3 linked regions of the Callithrix jacchus genome follow. The protein of the gene in region 1 purifies or fractionates together with the protein of each later gene. This does not show direct contact. Links are inferred from orthologs where the notes say so. Each region holds a gene or a part of one and is shown on either strand. Other genes may lie near its edges. The genes, in order: ARID1A, BCL7A and DPF2.

Evidence for each region.
Region 2: the proteins of ARID1A (region 1) and BCL7A purify together in Homo sapiens (affinity purification with mass spectrometry; 5 studies listed by BioGRID and IntAct, counting the BioPlex papers as one, with this or other methods). This does not show direct contact. The link is inferred for Callithrix jacchus from reciprocal best matches to the Homo sapiens genes ARID1A and BCL7A.
Region 3: the proteins of ARID1A (region 1) and DPF2 purify together in Homo sapiens (affinity purification with mass spectrometry; 6 studies listed by BioGRID and IntAct, counting the BioPlex papers as one, with this or other methods). This does not show direct contact. The link is inferred for Callithrix jacchus from reciprocal best matches to the Homo sapiens genes ARID1A and DPF2.

Annotation. Positions count from the first base shown.
Region 1 is NC_133508.1:63,425,243-63,430,760, reverse strand, and holds part of ARID1A (AT-rich interactive domain-containing protein 1A), read right to left. Parts: intron 4,363-5,518; coding exon 4,155-4,362; intron 3,022-4,154; coding exon 2,889-3,021; intron 2,708-2,888; coding exon 2,532-2,707; intron 2,168-2,531; coding exon 2,017-2,167; intron 1,936-2,016; coding exon 1,801-1,935; intron 1,717-1,800; coding exon 1,620-1,716; intron 1,201-1,619; coding exon 309-1,200; intron 1-308. UniProt on the Homo sapiens protein: Involved in transcriptional activation and repression of select genes by chromatin remodeling (alteration of DNA-nucleosome topology).
Region 2 is NC_133510.1:125,226,681-125,232,848, reverse strand, and holds the start of BCL7A (B-cell CLL/lymphoma 7 protein family member A), read right to left. Parts: upstream 3,789-6,168; 5' UTR 3,617-3,788; coding exon 3,525-3,616; intron 1-3,524.
Region 3 is NC_133511.1:122,416,212-122,422,523, reverse strand, and holds the start of DPF2 (zinc finger protein ubi-d4), read right to left. Parts: upstream 3,950-6,312; 5' UTR 3,908-3,949; coding exon 3,876-3,907; intron 1-3,875. UniProt on the Homo sapiens protein: Plays an active role in transcriptional regulation by binding modified histones H3 and H4. Is a negative regulator of myeloid differentiation of hematopoietic progenitor cells. Might also have a role in the development and maturation of lymphoid cells.

The sequences.
Region 1 (5,518 bases):
GGCTGGCTGAAGGCACCCCCAGGGCTGCCCCATCAGTCAGGCTACTCTGAAGATTAACACAAAGTGGAAGGCAGTTCCTGTCTGGGAGATGACACATACCAGCCCCTCGTGGCTTCTAAACTATCTGTCTAGGACGTCATTGTATGGCAATGTTTTGAAGGAAAACCTTTAGTTGGCTTATTTCTTCCTTTTCCAAAGTTCTTTGGTTCTATTTTTGTCAACACTGGACCAGAATATTAAGGTGGAGGGAACAATGGACAAGACAAAAAGGGGCAGATTAGGCAACCCAATCAGGGAGGTCTCCTTACCAATGTCTTTCATTGTGAGCCGCCTCCTCTGCTTCAACACAGGCTGTGTGGCTTCAACAGAGCCAGGTGGGAAGGTGATATCCCGCCGAATCATGGGGGGCTGCACAGGGGCAGGTGCTATGTGTGAGGCAGGCACTGGGGGACCTGCCTTCTGCATTTTCATCCCAGAGTGCAGGAATGGAGACTTGCTAGGAGAGGTACGGTTCTCCATTGGCCGGGGCAGGGGAGCAGGGCTTGATACCTGAGGAATGTGATTCTGCATGCTTGGTGGGGGCTGGTAGTTAGATGGAGGGGGCCTTGTCATGGGGGGCACGGGAGCAGAGGAACCATATGGGGGCTGGCGTGTGCCATGCGAAGGCCATGGGCCTTCATGATTGGCCCTCTGATCTGTGTGCAGCATTTCATCTGTTCGGTTCACGCCATGATAGGCGGGGCCCTGGGGGGCAGAGCCCGTGCTCTGCCTGTTGGCATAATTATAGGTCATGTCATTACGCCCCTGCCACATAGTGCCTTGCTGAGCAACCTCAGCTGATGCCTGTATGGGGCCGCCCATCATTTGCGGTGGCATGTTTTGCTGGGCACTGGTGCCAGGGGGTGCAGAGACACGGTCTCGGCCAAACTGGAATGGAAATTGGTTCTGGGGGCCGCCTGCTGGTCGGCGCTCAGTAGCAGCAGTGGCAGTGGCAGGATAGGCATTGCCATACTGGTTGTATACATCTTGCTGAGGGGAAGGCTGGGCAGCTTGTTGCTGGCTGGCAGGCTGGGGCTGGGCTGGGGGCAACTGCTGCTGCTGAGGCTGCCCCTGCCCAGTGCTGTATGGCACACTGTACATCTCCCCTTCATGCCGCTTAGCAGGAGGGCCATATGTGCCATCCATTGGCCGCTTGTAATTCTAAGGCAGAGAGAAGCAGAGGACAAGTTAATGCTCTGCACTCAGAGACATAAAGCCCACAGATGCCAAGATGGCTACAACCAAATGAATGGTGGACACAGACTCCAAGGAAACAAAGGAATCACCTTAACAAACTGTCTTTTTAAGTTGTTTCCAAAAGCAACCACCACTCTTTCTTCCCCTCCCTTGCTCTAAGTAGAAAAATATATAAAACCTAAAAATCAAAATAAGATCTATTTCTAGCCCTTTCCAGCTCCAAACAGAAGAGATCGAGGACTTGGCTCTTTGGGCCCAAATGGCCAGTCAGGTGAGAGAAGAATGCCAAAATACTTAAAGTGAGCTTCTTAGACTTTAACACATTAGTAACTATCTTTCAAAGGGAATCTACATGCTAGTCCATTCCCAGCTACCCTCCTCACCTGCTGCTGCTGTGGATACATTGTGGTCTGTTGGCTGGGGAAGGGGCTGCCAGAAGGGGTGCCTTGGGTGGAAAACTGATTGCCATAGGAATCATGTCTACAGGAGGCAAAGAAACACATGATCAGGGTGGGCAGTGGCAAAGTCTGAGTCACAGCAGCACTGGGAGCAGGCTTTACTCACCGTTGCTGCTGCTGCTGCTGCTGTGGGGGGTAGCGGCTAGGAGAATACATCCCCGAGTCTGGGTTAGAAGGCATGAGATTCGGTTGTGGGGCCCCAGTGCCCATGTTTCCCTCAGGCCCTATTCCAGGCTCCGTCCTAAAGAAAATTGGAGAGGTGGATTGAGCCCACTATAGCTCTGGGTGCTGGGGGATGGATAGGAGCTGGTGCCATGCTTACCTCACTCTGTCATAAGGACCTCCATAGGGATAGTGCTGTCGTGGTCCCATTGCCACATTTCCAAGACCAGGGCCGGCAGCACGGCTGTAGGGGTCACCCATCCCGCCGTTGGGGCCCTGCCCTGAGGACATGAAGGGATCACTCCCTGGAGCTGAGTGTATAAAGGCAGGCAGTGAACAAACTGGCAAGTTGGCAAGCCTAGTAATCTACACTTTGCCTGCTCCAAAGACCCAGGCCCTTTTCAGAGTTCAGGTTTGATCTCACTGTTTTCCAGACAAGTTCAAAACAGAGTTCTAAAGATGCCCCAACCAGCAAAAAGCATGTACTTGTTAAGGGATGTCAAGGTGAGGCCAGGGAAGAGACAAAGGAGGTAGGGATGAAGAGGGGTAGTTAGGACAGGAAATGCATTATCTCAGAGATTGGCTCCACAAGAACCCTGAATCACTCAAGATTTTCCCCCATTTCACTGGCCCTGTCTTTAAGAGTACAAGTTCAATAGCAATCAGATCAGTCACCTTTCCTCATGCTGCCATAAGGATCCTTATTTGGCTCATAGGACATGCGCCCCATCATGTCAGAGGTATTCATACTGGGCTGATACCCAGGGTTTGGAGTCATGGAATTCCGCTTCTGGAATGTGGAGTCACTTCCATCATTAAAGGCATCCTGGATCCCAACCGAATTGCTCCTGCTCCAGAGTGAGGAAAATCAATTAAACCCCAGATAGACCAATTCCTCCAATATAACACAGGACACGCAGGAGTCACTGGCTGAGAAGGCAGAGGCAGGGACCACCCTTGGGCTGCAAAGGAGTTCCCATGCACTTATCTCCAACCATCCCCTCAACCATCCACCTCTGCTCTTGGCCTTACCTCATGCCTGGCAAGGGAGGGATCTGACTGTGTGGTGTGGATGCTGGAGTTGGTGGCTTTAAGTCTCCTCCTTCTGCCATGGAACTGCTGGTTGACTGAGGAGTCTGGGGCCCCTGCATAGATCCTGATCCCGCTGTGGACAGAGAAGCAAGTTGAGCAGTTTGCTTGGTATGGAAGTGTTTAACTCTCACAAAAACACATGAATGACCCAGAATCTCTTTGAGAAAGTTCTTCCTAAGGCCTTTCAAGCGTGATCACCATTCTTATCAGAAGATCTGCAATATCCAGGTCATAAAGAAGGAAATTTGAGGGTTTTGTAGCTCTTTTTGTTTTACATGTAGAGAAGAGAAGTGATGCGGCCATGACATCACTATGCTGGTGATTCCTTGAGTCACTGCCAGCTTCCCTGGCTATTTCTCTTCACTTCTCCAAGGACCTTGTCTAACCTATTAAATCCTGTAATGCTGGTGCAGGAGCTCCAGTCAGAACCTCCCAAATCCTGGGTAGGGTGGAATCCAAATCTGGGATGCATTTTAGGAGCCTAGGAGAGCTCCTGTTCTAAAGCATCCAGCATAGTGTCATCCCTCAAGTTCAAATGTTCTTCTAAGCTGATAAGCACAAAACTACTAGTAATTTAATGTTTCCAATAGTTACCATTCCCAGCAGTAGATATCCCACTGCTGAGGCCTCCCCAGCTGATGAGTCATCTCAGGCACTCATTACACCCTCAGAGGTCAACACCAGGGCACATGTGTTTACACCCACCTTCCAGGCACCCTGGCCTTCTTTCCTCCCCAGGCTCGCCCTAGGTCTCAGCCTCCTCTCAGAATGGAGGGTAGGCAGAGGCACTCCCATCAGAGAGTTCCATTCATATCCCTTCCCCACTCCCTCCTCATTCATTACTATCTCAGCTCCCTGGGGAATTCAGGGCTCTAGTGTGAGCTGCATTCTAAGGTGCTGACATCAATGGGCCAAAGCTTCCAGATGGCCCTGCTTTGCTGCCATTTGTCAGTTTCCCCACTCTTCTTGTGCCCCTCCCATTCACCAGTTTACAAACATTTGGCAAGTTGCCAGGTGCACAACAAAAATTAAAATTTAAGGGCTGCTGAAGAGTACCTCCCAGGGAAGTTTCCACTGCCCACTCTCTATTCAGCCAACCTGTTAAGACCTGTGGTAGGGCAAGAGCACAGATCCTTGGCATATCCTGCTGGAGGCAGGTGCAGTAGGCCCTCTCAGCCTTAGTGGGGCTGCTGACCCCATCCTTACCAGGAGAGGGAGGCTGGATCTTGGGCTGGGACTTCTTGGAATCGGCAGCTGCAAAGATGTCTGGGGGAGGATCTTCTCCCCGTTCAATCTTGCACTCAAAGGCATAGAGACACTGGATATACTGCTTTTTCAAGGAGCTGGCAGCACTGCTTGATGTGCCCACATTGAGGTTTGTTGCAAGTTCCCGCCATTTTTTGTTCTTGTTGACCTGTATAACCAAACCACAAGAGTCGGGGTATATCTCCTGCCTGGTTTTCCTGTCCATAAGCCACAAGCCCTATCAGGCTGCAAGGTAATTCATTTTTGTAGAATCACAGTTCTTAGGTAATTACAAAAGTTAATCTTGCTTGGTGGATAGTTCACAACAAGTGTTAAATCCAGTTTTTTAGTATACTGCCGAAAAATGGTGTACAAATCATCTGCCTATTTAAACCCTACTTTTTCTGAGACAGAAAAAATAAATCTCGCTCTGTCGCCTAGGCTGGAATGCAGTGGCACGAGCTTAACTTGCTGCAATTTCTGCCTCCCGGGCTCAAGCGATACTCTTACCTCAGCCTCCCAAGTAGCTGGGATTACAGGAGTGCACCACCACACCTGGCTAATTTTTGTATTTTTAGTAGAGACAGCATTTCACCATGTTGGCCAGGCTGGTCTCAAACTCCTGGCCTCAAGTGATCTGCCCTCCTCACCTCAAGTCATCTGCCCTCCTCAGACTCTCAAAGTGCTGGGATTACAAGCTTGAGCCACTGCACCTGGCCCTAAATCCTATTTTAAATGTACTACTAAAAACTAACATTTTATAAAATGGAGACTTGTGATAGTATCAATGACTACCCTGCTTGACTTGCTTTGTCAAACTGGGGATTTACACATCTGATTTTTTTTCTTGGCATGGCACTCTCTGCAAATTTGACATTCTTGTGCCACTGCTCTCCTACATATCTCAGTGACAAACAACCACAGGTCCCTTTACCTCATCAGTCACTGTCCTAATTGTCCAGATGTTCAGCGCCTTATTTATTTATTTAAAGAGTCTCACTTTGTCATCCAGGCTGGAGTGTAGTGGTGCCATTTTGGCTCACTGCAACCTCTGCCTCCTGGGTTCAAGTGATCCCCCTGCCTCAGCCTCCCAAGTAGTGGGACTATAGGCGCCTGGTTTACCACGCCCCACTAATTTTTGTATTTTTAGTAGAGACAGGGTTTTGCCATGTTGGTCAGGCTGGTCTTAAATCCTGACCTCAGGTGATTCAACCATCTCGGCCTCCCAAAGTGCTAGGATTACAGGTGTGAGCCACTGCACCCCGCCCAGGGCCGCCTTATGACTTTTGTACCTCCCCAGCAGCCAACCTACAGTTTTGCCTCCT
Region 2 (6,168 bases), on another chromosome or scaffold:
TGGTCTCAAACTCCTAACCTTAGGTGATCTGACCACCTCGGCCTCCAAAAGTGCTGGGATTACAGGTGTGAGCCGCCACACCTGGCCTAGTTTTTCTTTTCCTTTTTTTAAAATTAAGACCGCGGTGGGTCACGCCTGTAATCCCAGCACTTTGGGAGGCCGAGGCATAAATCACCTGAGTTCAAGACCAGCCTGACCGACATGGAGAAACCCCATCTCTACTAAAAGTGGAGCCTGTAATCCTAGCTACTTGAGAGGCTGAGGTAAGAAAATCGCTTGAACCCAGGAGGCAGAGGTTGTGGTGAACCGAGATCACACCATTGCCCTCATGCTTGGGTGACAAGAAGGAAACTCCGTCTCAAAAAAATGAAAAATAAAAATAAAAAAGAGATGGAGTCTCACTATGTTGCCCAGGCTGGTCTCAAACTCCTAGGTTCAAGTCATCCTCCCATCTCAGCCTCCCAGAGTGCTGGGATTATAGGCGTGAGCCACCACACTGGGACTCCAAGCCTATGCTGCAGCCCAAGCCTTCGTCTCCCACAGGCCCCTTCTTTCCTCCTCCAGCACAGGGCCTCGGAATCCTGGCCCGGTTTCCCAAAAGAGGCCCACCATTTTGTTTTCCCTTCTGCCACATTCTGCTTACTTAACACTGCACCGGCCTGTCTTGCTGAAACACCAGACAGAAAACAGGGAAATGAGAGGAAGGCCACAGCTTTTTCTGGGGGTGGGGGAAGTGCCAGGGGATGGTTTGAGGGGGTGTAATTTTAGGGGTCACTGGGGCTGAGGAGAAACCCACCCAAGGCTCACGGGGCCAAATCGTCTGCCAGACACCTCAGCTCCCCTCTGGGTAAAAAAATACAGGATTCCTTGTTAAATTTCCATTTCAGATAAACAGATAATGTTTTCGTATAAGTATGTCCCAAATATGGCATGAGACATACTTACACACAAAAACATTTATTTTTAAAACATTATCTGAAATTTGAATTTAACTGGGTGTGCTGCATTTTTTCTGCTTAAACCTGGCAACCCCACCTCCCGGCCAGTGGTGAAATGCATGGTTGGTGGCCACACAATTAATAAACAACCCAAAGTTTTGTGGGCTGAGTCGAAGACCCAATCCAAAGGCACGGAGAAGGTGGGCGATGGCTTCTCAGGGGCCGGAGAAACCTGGGCAATAAGTCCAAGGCTTTCACTTAGAAGGGGCCAAAAAAAAAAAAAAAAATCAGAAAGCCAAGTTTCTATAAAGTCCACCTTACAATAGGGACAACCCTGAATAACTGCTCCTCCTGCGCCCGTGGCTCGCTGCTTTTGGAGGCGTGACCTCACTGGTCCTCAACAACCCGAGGCGACCCAGAGGCCACGCACAGAGCCCCGGTCACCATGGTTAGAGAAGTGATCATGATATGCCCAAGGTCACGGCAAGAAAGTGAACTGGAAGCCCGACCTCGAGATCCCAACGCCTGAGGTCTTCAGAGGACACGATGTGATGTTTCCCCAAACTCAGGGAGGCGTAGAGGCGCAGCCCCGCCTCCCTCAGCCCCAACTACAGGCCTGGTCCCCGTGGGCTCAGTGGGCTGGAAGGCCTCCAGGCTGGCCACCCTGGGGCCCGCGGGGTGGAAAGCCCCATCTCTCCATCTGCCCTCCCTGCAGAGCAGCTGGCCGCCCTGCGGGAGCAGCTGTCAGAGTGCAGGAGCCTCTGCCCTGCCGGGAACCTGGGGCAGGAGGCCCCACCACGCCTCCCCAAGCAGAGAAAGGCGGCTTGCCGGCTGCTTCCCAACCTTCAGGCCGGCGACAGAAGGGACCCAGGCACAGACACACCAGTTCTTTCTTTGCACAGGGGCTGAGGCGAGGAGGGGAGCCACTTCAGGGTTCCCACGGGGAATCCCACAGTGGAGGGGGCTGCGGGTTGCTTTCTAGTGTGTGTGTGTTGGCCTGCAGCTGTTTCTGCCATTTTTAAATGGCTCCAGTCGGGCACCGGGCGCCCTGCGCACCAGGGGAGCTCCCGAGACATCGACGACTTGGATCTCAACTTTGGAAAGCCTCCCCTTCTCCCGGTTCTGAAAATTCTTTGTCCCACTGGAGTCAAACCCAGCCCACGGCCGGGCATCCGGCCATCGCAGCCAGCCCTTTCCATAGGAGGCCCGAGAGCACGTGGACTTTATTGATTTTCCTCTTGCCTTTTTTGTTGGGTTTGACTCAGAAGGGACAGCTAACTTGTGACACCGCCACACCGGAGGCTCGCCCCCAGTGGCTTTTAGAGACCGAGGCACTACTTGAGAAATGACACCCCTAAACGTAAACATCCCTTGCCAAGGGGCCTGCCCGGCTTCCAGGCTCGAAATAAAGGGTCGGGACGAGCCCGCGGGCGCTGACACTCGGGGCCAGCATCGCAGCGGCTCTTCTCCCTCCCAGACCCCGGTGAAGGCGTGGGAAAAAAATAATAAAGTTGAAATCAGGGAGCGGGGAGTTTTCAACAAGTCTGACCCAACCTAGCGATCTGCTGGCGCCTCGGGCCTGGCCCAGAGGACGATTCCGAGCAGACCCGGACGAGGCCGCGGAGAGGTTCGATCCCCTAAATGACTACCCGGCCACGCCGGGCGGACGCTAACCGGAGACCGAAAACCACGCGCGGCGGCGGCGGCGACAGCCGCCGAGTCCTCCTCACCCCCGTGCAGAGAACAAAAACAACGGCTCCCTCCGCAAAACAAACACGAGCTCGCGGTGTGGAAAGGCAGCCGCGGCCCAGGACCAACGGCTTCTGGCCAAAAACATCTGCTGGCCCGAGCCCCCCGCCCCGGGCGCCGCGCAGAGCGGGGTGGGACGTGGGCGCCCCGCGCCCCTGGCCGCTGGCTCCCGGCGCTCGCCCCCATCTTTCCTGGTCGCCGAGAGCTCTCGCTCCAGGCAGCCCAAAGCGCTAAATTTAAACGGCTCGCGCTCTGCAAACTCCGCAGACTCGAGGGCGCCGGGCCCGGGAGGCGGGAGCGGGCAGCCGGGCGGGCCGGGGCCGGCGGAGAGCGGCGGGGCGCGGGCCAGGGCGCGCGGGGAGGAGACGGCGGCGGCGGCCCGCTCGGAGTCTGCACAATGGAGCTCGCGCTCTCCCCGCCGCCGCCGGCATCACGGCCCCGGCGCGCGGGAAGCCGCTTTCATGTGACTTGCACAAAACGAAATGGCTTCTGGGGCCGGCCCCGAGCCCCCCTCCCGGGAGCCAAGCGCCGCGGTGGGGGCTGCCCGCGGCTCCAACCGCCCGGCCCCGGCGCCCGCCGCCTCCGGGCCGCCGCCGCCGCCGCGCCAGGTGGGCGACAGGAGCGAGCGCACCTGGGCAGCGGCCGCGGCCCCCGCCTGGCGCAGGTGACCCGGCTCGCGCACCGCCCGCCCGCCCGCGCGCCCTAGCCAAGTCCCGGGGCCCGCGGCGGGGCCGGGCCGGGGCAGGCGGCCCGGGCGCTGCGCCCCGCGGCTTTCTGGAGCCGCGCTCGGGCTCGGGGCGGCCGGGGAGGCGGCGGGCGGCAGGCGCCTCCGCTTACCATTTGCGCACTTTCTCGATCGCCGCCATGACCCTCTTGATATCATCTTTGGCCCGGCTCCTGGTCTCGGCTCGAACCGACCTGCCCGACATGGTTCCGGCGGGGAGACGGAGGCTGGGGAGCGCGCCCGCCGGGTCCTGCTCGCGCTCCGCGGCGGCCACACTCGCGCCCGCCCGCCGCTCACTCACTGGCGCACAGACACTCGCACTCTCACACGCACACACTCACACACACACTCACACACACACTCACACACACACACACAAAGCCTGGGGCCGCCGCGCGCTGGGCCCAGTGCGCAAGCGCCGGGCGGCAGCTGCACGGAGCAGGGGGAGCCGCGCTGCTGCCGCCGCCGGCGGTGCGGCCTCCGGGCGCGGCGGCCACCGGGCAGCGCCCCCGGGCCTCCCGCGCCCCCAGGGGGGACGCCCCGGACGCTCTCCCAGGGAGGCGGCTCCGGGCGCGCGGCGGGGGCGGGCTTGAAGTGCGCGCGGACCCTTCCTCGGAGGCCGCAGGTGCCGAGGGGTCCCCGGGAGGCCGCCGGTCTGCGGGGGCGCTGGAGCACGTTTCCTGGGGAGCCGGCTCAGCAGCCCCTGCCTGGGCCTGGAGCGCGGCGGCGGGTGCGGTCAAGTTTCTTGCCGGACTCTTGACTTCCCCGAGTTGAAGGCGCCGGTTCGGGACGCGAGGTGCTCTCGGAAAGAGTTGGGCATCGCGCGTCTCTGCTGGCCCGCGGCCCTGTTCGAATGCGAGCTAGGACGTCGCCTGCCCCAGGCCTTGTCCTTTTGGAACACCGGGTTCGTAGGAAGGTGCCTGGGGCCAGGCAGACCACGAGAGACTCTCGATCATGCGACCTAAAGAATTTCATCGAGCTCAGGAAAAGCTCGATGATGATCAGCATCGTAACAGGGACTCTTCCTCCTGCCCCCGCTTTATCTCAGAAATAAAGCGAGAGGGTCTTCGCTCGGGTTCACCAGAGGACCACAATTTCCCCTTAAGCCACTCCTGACTTCAGTACCAGACTGAGACCAGGCGCTGCTGCTGCCGAAACGACCCTAGCGGGTACAAGGGACTGGTCCCATCTACAAGGAGGACTTTTGAGGCCTCAGAACAGAGCCCCGGAGAGGAATCTGCGATGATCAGGGTAACCTGGGTGCCGCACCTTGGTCTTCAGCTGCATCGGAACCGGCTGGACCAGAGCTAACGCGCGCCTGAAATGAAGTGGGAGACTGAGAGTGGCCCGAATGTCATGCCCTGGGCCTGCCATTTCACAGCTGGGGAAACTGAGTCCCGGGAATGGTCAAGGTTGCAGCCCTGAACATACAACAAGGTTGTAGCTGTCGCTACTCTAGACCAGTTTCCCCTGAGGGTTTGGTCTTTGGGGAAAACGCTACTGAGGAAATGGAGAAACTGCAGGCCTTTTCCTAGGCATTTATTCTTACTATTATGAAACTCAAGCTCCTGACGTGAATAATGAAGAAAAGAACAAATGCTGGCCGGGCGCAGTGGCTCATGCCTGTAATCCCAGCACTTTGGAAGGCTGAGATGGGCGAATCAACTGAAGTCAGGAGTTCGAGACCAGCTTGGCCAACATGCTGAAACCCATTCTACTAAAAATACAAAATTAGCCAGGCACGGTGGCAGGCACCTATAATCCCAGCTACTCTGGAGGCTGAGACAGGAGACTCGCTTGAACCTGGGGGATGGAAGTTGCAGTGAGTGGAGATCACACCACTGCACTCCAGCCTGGGTGACAGAGTGAGACCCTGTCTCAAAAAAAAAAAAAAGGCCAGGCGTGGTGTTCACATCTGTAATTCCAGCACTTTAGGAGGCTGAGGTGGGCAAATCACAAGGTCAGGAGTTTGAGACCAGCCTGGCCAACAGGGTGAAACTCTGTCTCTACTGAAAATACAAAAATTAGCGGGGCGTGGTGGTGCGCGCCTGTAATCTCAGGGACTCCGGAGGCTGAGGCAGGAGAATTGCCTGAACCTGGGGTTGCAGTGAGCCAAGATCATGCCGTTGCTCTCCAGCCTAGGTGACAGAGCAAGACTGCGTCTCAAAAAAACAAAGCAAAACAAAAAGGAACAAATACAAATACCTCAAAGAATCGTTCTGAGGATTTTCTGGGAAAATATGCAACAGCAGGTCATAAAACAGATCTGACAGAGATATGAGATCAACAGATATGTGCTTTGGGCCACACGGAACTTTTAAAAAATATATCTAACAATTTAAAATAGGAAAATATCCTGTCAGAACTCAAATAATGACTGATGAACGGACAAATATGTCTGTCCACACAATGGAATATTATTCAGCCGCAAAAGGGGATGAATACATGCTATGACATGGGTGAACCTTGAAACATGCTAAGTGGAAGAAGCCTGCCACAAAAGGACAAATATTGTGTAAATCCACTTACGTGAGATATCTAATACTAGGTGAATCCAGAGAGCCAGAAATCAGACTGGTGGTTGCCAGGCGCAAGGCGGAGGGGAGAATAGGAGTGACTGCTAATGGGCGTGGGGTTTCCTTTTGGAGTGATAGGAAAGTTCTGGAATGAGATGGTGATGGTTGTAGAACAGTGTGAATGTACTTAATGACCCTGAGTTGTGCACTTTTAATGGTTGCAATGGTCAATTTTATGGGT
Region 3 (6,312 bases), on another chromosome or scaffold:
GGTAAGGCAAACAGTCTTGGGGGTAAAGGGCTGGGAACGAAACACTTAAGTGTATGTGTGGGGAGAATGTGATGAAGAGAGAACAAGACAGAATGAGAGTGAGCTCTTAAGAACTTAAGGGAGCTGGGCACAGTGGCTCATACCTGTAATCCTAGCACTTTGAAAGGACAAGGCAGGTGGATCTCTTGAGCTCAAGAGTGAGAGACCACCCTGGGCAATATAGTGAGATCTCATCTCTACAAAATGTTTTAAAAAAAAAATCAGCTAGGCACGGTGGTGCACACCTGTGGTCCTACGAAGTCCCTGGGGGAAATGAGGTAGGGGATGATTTGAGCCTAGGAAGCTGAGGGTGCAGTAAACCAAGGTTACACCATTGCACTTCAGCCTGGGGAACAGAGGGAGGCTCTATCTCTTAAAACAAAACAAAACAAAACAACAACAACAACAAAAACTTAACGCTCTCTAAGCAAGAAATGTCAAGCTAAATTAGCACTGTTCTCTAGATCTTTTTTTTTTTTTTTTTTTTTTTTTTTTAAGACAGAGTCTTAGTCTTTTGCCCAGGCTGGAGTGCAGTGGCATGACAGCTCACTGCAACCTCTGCCTCCCAGGTTCCAATGATCCTCCTGCCTCAGGCTCCTGAGTAGATGAGCTTACAGACACACGCCAGTATGCCCAGCTAACTTTTGCATTTTTAGTGTAGATGGGGTTTCACCATTTTGGCCAAGCTGGTCTCAAACTCTTGATCTCATGATCTGCCTGCTTTGGCCTCCCTAAGTGCTAGGATTACAGGCATGAGCCACTGTGCCGGCCTCTAGCTCTTGTCTATAGAAAGTTTAAAAACCAATCAGCAGCTACAGCTATACTTTTATTTTACTCTCCTCGTAAGAACCTTAAAAGATTTTTTTTTTTCTCGAGACAGAATATTGCTCTGTTGCCCAGGCTGGAGTACAGTGGCACCATCTCAACTCGCTGCAACCTCCACCTCCTGGGTTCAAGCAATTCTCCTGCCTCAGCCTCCTGAGTAACTAACTGGGACTACAGGCGCGCACCACCATGCCTAATTTTTGTATTTTTAGTAGAGACTGGGTTTCACCACATTGGCCATGCTGGTCTTGAAAACTGACCTTGTGATCTGCCTGCCTTGGCTTCCCAACGTGCTGGGATTATAGCTGTGAGCCACTGTGCCGAGCCTCTTTTTTTTAAAGACAGAGTCTTAAGGTGTCACTCAGGCTGGAGGGCAGTGGTGTGATATCAGCTCACTGAAACCTCTGCCTCCCGGGTTCAGACAATTCATATGCCTCAGCCTCCTGAGTAGCTGGGACTACAGGTGTGTGCCAGTACACCCGGCTAATTTTTCTATTTTTAGTAGAGATGGAGTCTCACCATGTTGGCCAGGCTGGTCTTGAACTCCTGACCTCAAGCGATCCACCCACCTTGGCCTCCCCAAGTGTTGGGATAACAGGCGTGAGCCACCCTGCTCAGCCAAGATTTTTATTTCTGACATCACATTTGGAAGGGACAGAAATTTACAAATAAGAAAATTCTTCTCCCAGGACAAGATGCAAGTCAGAAAGTTGAGTGGCTGGGTGCGGTGACTCATGCCTGTAATCCTAGCATTTTATGAGGCTGAGACCCGTGGATCACCTCTGAGGTCAGGAGTTCAAGACCAGCCCGGCCAACATGTTGAAACCCGCTGGGTGTGGTGGTGGGTTGCCTTTCAGCTATTCAGGAGGCTGAGGCAGGATAATTGCTGGAACCTGGGAGGCTGAGGTTGCAGTGAGCCGAGATGGTGTCACTGCACTCCATCCTGGGCTGACAACAGCAAGACTCTGTCTCAAAAAAATAAAAGAAAATATGAGCTAGTGGTCCCGACCTCAGTGTATAATATCAACTGTCAGAAGACTAGGCACACTATAATCAAGAGAAGTGCCAGAAAAGCATCTCTTTCCAATGAACTGGAAGAATGGAAGCCCTTGTTAAAGGGATCATTCTGCAGGAGTACGTATTAACTGTGGTCTGAGGCCCTGTACAGCCAGAAATGAGGAGAAAGTTGGTTTCTCATTACTGGCATTCAGGAATTAGTGGCAGGTGAAACAATCTCTATAGTTTTTCCAAGAGAAATCAGAAGTCATGCGGTTTAAATGGGAACCCCTCACTTATGACACAACTTGAAAGCACTGGCAACCCTATCTCCCTGAGGAAAGTCTTCCAACACAAAAAGCCCCACTACGTTTAACTCTCAAAACATAGGCAAGTCTGATATTCCTCCAGTACAAGGGGAATCTTTCTTTTTATTTTTGGAGAAACCCGTGTAAAACATCCCCTTCCAATGGGATAAGGGAAGTCAACAAAGACGCAGGGAAACAAAGAACATCTCAGCCAGGAAGGATAACCGGTATACAAACAGTGTCATTTCTAAATTGAGAAAAATGTCAGCCTCAAGAGAGCTGCGAAACTGGAGTGGGCAGATCAGAGAGAAAGACAATAGTGTTGGGAGGAGGGTGGCTGAAAGAGACAGGATAGATCAGAAAGCAAGTTAAATGAAACACACACACACACACACACACACACACACACACGAGGAGGAAAGGCACTTAGCTTAATGGAAGTGGGAAAGCATTCTCAAAGAAAAGGCTTCAGGGCATGAGGGAGAAGCAGTTTACTCTTTAAAAAGGCTCTTAGGAAGAGTGGGGCTCAGCCCACGATAAAGACGGATGAAAAGCGGTGAGTCCCTTAGAACAGCTAGCGAACCTCTACTTTGTCATTCAGTCAAAATCCAACAGCCCTGACTGGACAGCTAGACATCCTCAATTTTCCCACCCTTCCACTGTCATTCAGTCAAAATCCAACAGCCCTGACTGGACAGCTAGACATCCTCAATTTTCCCACTCTTCCACTGTCATTCATTCCGTCAAAATCCAACAGCCCTGACTGGACAGCTAGACATCCTCAATTTTCCCACCCTTCCACCAAGCCCAACGTACCCATTAAAAGAAGCTCTATTCGCCTAGGGGGCATTAACCCAGTCCAAAACTCGTTCTCATTCTTCTGTAGGAATTAATCAAGTCCCAAAGCATCTTTAACTGACAGGAAGCAGTTCATAGGCCAGTGTCCATGGCCCCAACAAATACTAACTTTAACTCTGCTTGATATCTGGCCAGCACAATGGTACCGTGAAATAGGAAGAATACCCATCTGGATGTCCCTTTAGGCTACTGAGCTGTCCTGAACGGCTTCGGTCCAGCCGCAGGTTTTTGATGGCTGCTTCTGGACTGCGCCAAGGCCCGCTCCCCTGAAGTTCCTTCCCTTCTTGTATCCGCTCTTCGACAAATTCTTCCCAAGAATATTTGCAGTCTTAGGTGCCCGCCACCCAAGATCCTCCCAAACGTCACGGGGCCGCTCGGAACTAAAACATCCAGCCCCGCAGTGCACCCCACTGGGGCCGCCGACCCTGTTGCTGCAGCGGACGGGACGGGACCGGGCGGTTTGGGCGGCGGACTCGCCAGGGGCCGCCCGGGCCTCAGCCCCGCTCCTCGGGACTGAGGCGTCTGGGGAGAGGACCGGGACCGTGAGTCTCGCGCGCAGGCAGGGCGCCATGCTCTAGAAACCGTCAGCCCCGAGGAACGCTCAGGCTACACAGCCCCGCAGGGAGGCCGCCCGTCGAGGCTCCAGTGTGCCCCCATCAGGGCCTCCACAAGTTTCCAAAGAAGCGCAACGTCTTCTCCAGAGTCTCCTGTTGCCCTCCCCACCAGGAGTCGCAACACGATCTTGCCGGGCATGTCCCTCTCTCCGTCTCATCTCTTCCCGCACGGCCCCCTCCTCCCAGGCCCTTTACAAAACCTGCCGCCCTAGGAGAGAAAGAAACGACCACTCACAGCTTCACGACATTCTCCACCACAGCCGCCATCTTCCCTGCTCCTCTCCCTCGGGCCGGGAGGCCCCAGAGTCCGCAGCGCGCAGGCGCCGGGACCACACGGGGGCACCAGGTTCCTCGCCCTCTGCGCAGGCGCCGCCCGGGCGCGCGCACGAGAGCGAGTACTGAAGAAAGCTCTACGCTTGTCTGCGGGGGCCGGGAAGGAAACGCGTGAGACCGCACGGGAGACCGATGCGCAGGCGAAACCGGAGACTGGCATGCGTCCCGGAGCTCGGTTGGAGGCGGGCCGCCTCTTCTATCTAGAAGAGGTGGGGCAGGGCGAGGTGGCTCACGCCTGTAATCCCAGCACTTTGGGAGGCCAAGGCCCGTGGATCGGTTGGGCTCAGGAGTTCGAGACCAGTCTGGCCAACATGGTGAAACCCTGCCTTTACTAAAAATAGAAAAATTAGCCGGGCATGATGTCAGGTGCCTGTAATCCCAGCTACTTGGGAGGCTGAGGGGGAGAATCCTTTGAACCCGGGAAGGCGGAGGTTGCAGTGAACTGGGATTGCACCATTGCACTCCTGCCTGGGCTACAGAGCGAGACCCCACCTTAAAAAAAAAAGAGCTGGAGGAGGCCCGTCGCGGTGGCTCCCAGCACTTTGGGTGGCGGAGGCCGGAGGATTGCTTTGAGCTCAGGAGTTTGAGACCAGCCTGGGAAACTTAGGGAGTCCTCGTCTCTACTAAAAATTAAAAAATTACCCGGGTGTGGTGGCATGTGCCTGTGGCCCCAGCTACTCAAGATGCTGAGGTGACCAGATCGCTTGAGCACAGGAGGGTAGAAGCTGAGTGAGCCGTAATCGCACCACTGCACTCCAGCCTGGGCGACAAAGCGAACCTTGTGTCAAAAAAAATAAACAAACAAAAACCCCAGCACAGTCGACCTTCACTATCACCTCTTTTCAGTCTTTCAAAGCAAATAGTACTCCCTGTCTCTGTTGCCTTGTTTCCAAGTCCCCCTTCCACCCAATTGGTTCCCACCTGTTCACTTGAACTAGCTCCTGTAACCCTGACCTCCCTTTCAGCAGATTTAGAGATGTCTTCTCTGTCCTCATGGGCCTGTCAACCCCATGACACTGTTGGCCACTCTGCTTTTCAAACTCTTCTGCAGATCTTTGAGACGCCACCCCCTCCCGGTTGTCCTACCCCACTGGCAGTTCCTTCCAGTCTCTTCCTCTGCTCAGCCTCTAACTGTCAGAATCCTCAGGGCTTGGTCTTTGGTACTTGTCATCTTTCCAATATATCTTATATCACCAATTCCAAGATGCACATAAATCTCCCCCTTCATTTTAATATTTCAGAAGCTGGACACATCTTACCATTGCTGTGTCTTAAAATCATACTTAGCAGGTGAGAGTTTTTGTCATTCCTAACCCTGTACGAGTATCAAAACATGCAGAATAGGTGTTAGCAGCTTGGAAGAAAAACCCAGAGAAGATGGTAGTAGATTTTTTTTTTGTGAGACACAGTCTTGCTCTGTTGCCCAGGCTGAAGTGCAGTGGTATGATCTCGGCTCACTGCAAACTCCACCTCCCGGGTTCAAGAGATTCTCCTGCCTCAGCTTCCCAAGTAGCTGGGATTACAGGCCTGTGCCACCATGTCTGGCTAAGTTTTGTATTTTTAGTAGAGATGGGGGTTTCACCATGTTGGCCAGGCTGGTCTTGAACTCCTGACCTCAGGTGATCTGCCTGCCTGAGCTTCCCATAGTGCTGGGATTGTAGGCATGGGCCCCCGTGCCTGACCTAAAATGTTTTTTTAAAAATTAGCTGGGTGACCGGGCACAGTGGCTCACGCCTGTAATTCCAACACTTTGGGAGGCCAAGGCAGGTGGATCACTTGAGGTCAGGGGTTGGACACCACCCTGGCCAACATAGTGAAACTTTGTATCTACTAAAAATACAAAAATTAGCTGGGCATGGTTACCGAGAACTAGCTCAGTTGGGGGACTCCCACCCAGGCGGCTGAAGGTATTCAGAGAGGCAGACACCCGGATAGCCAACAGAGTGGATCTGTCCTGGGGACCAACAGCCTGAGAGCCTGCGGGCCTTGCAGCTCTCCAGGACTGAAGGCCCTGAGCAGAGATTCATCCACGTAATTATTCACTCTTTGACAGGTGATTCTTACTAATGCACAGGTGTTCTACATATACACATAACTCCAGACTATACCAAGTAGGCAGCTGTTACCCGCCCACCACTAAGTACAAACTAAAAGGTATCCTCCACAAAGGAGCCATGGGGGCAGGATAAACTTAATGTTTCTTAACGTGGTGGCGCGTGCCTGTAATCCAAGCTACTCGGGAGGCTGAGGCAGGAGAATCGCTTGAACCCGGGAGGTGGAGGTTGCGGTGAGCCGAGATCATGCCACTTCATTCCAGCCTGGGCAACAAGAGCAAAACT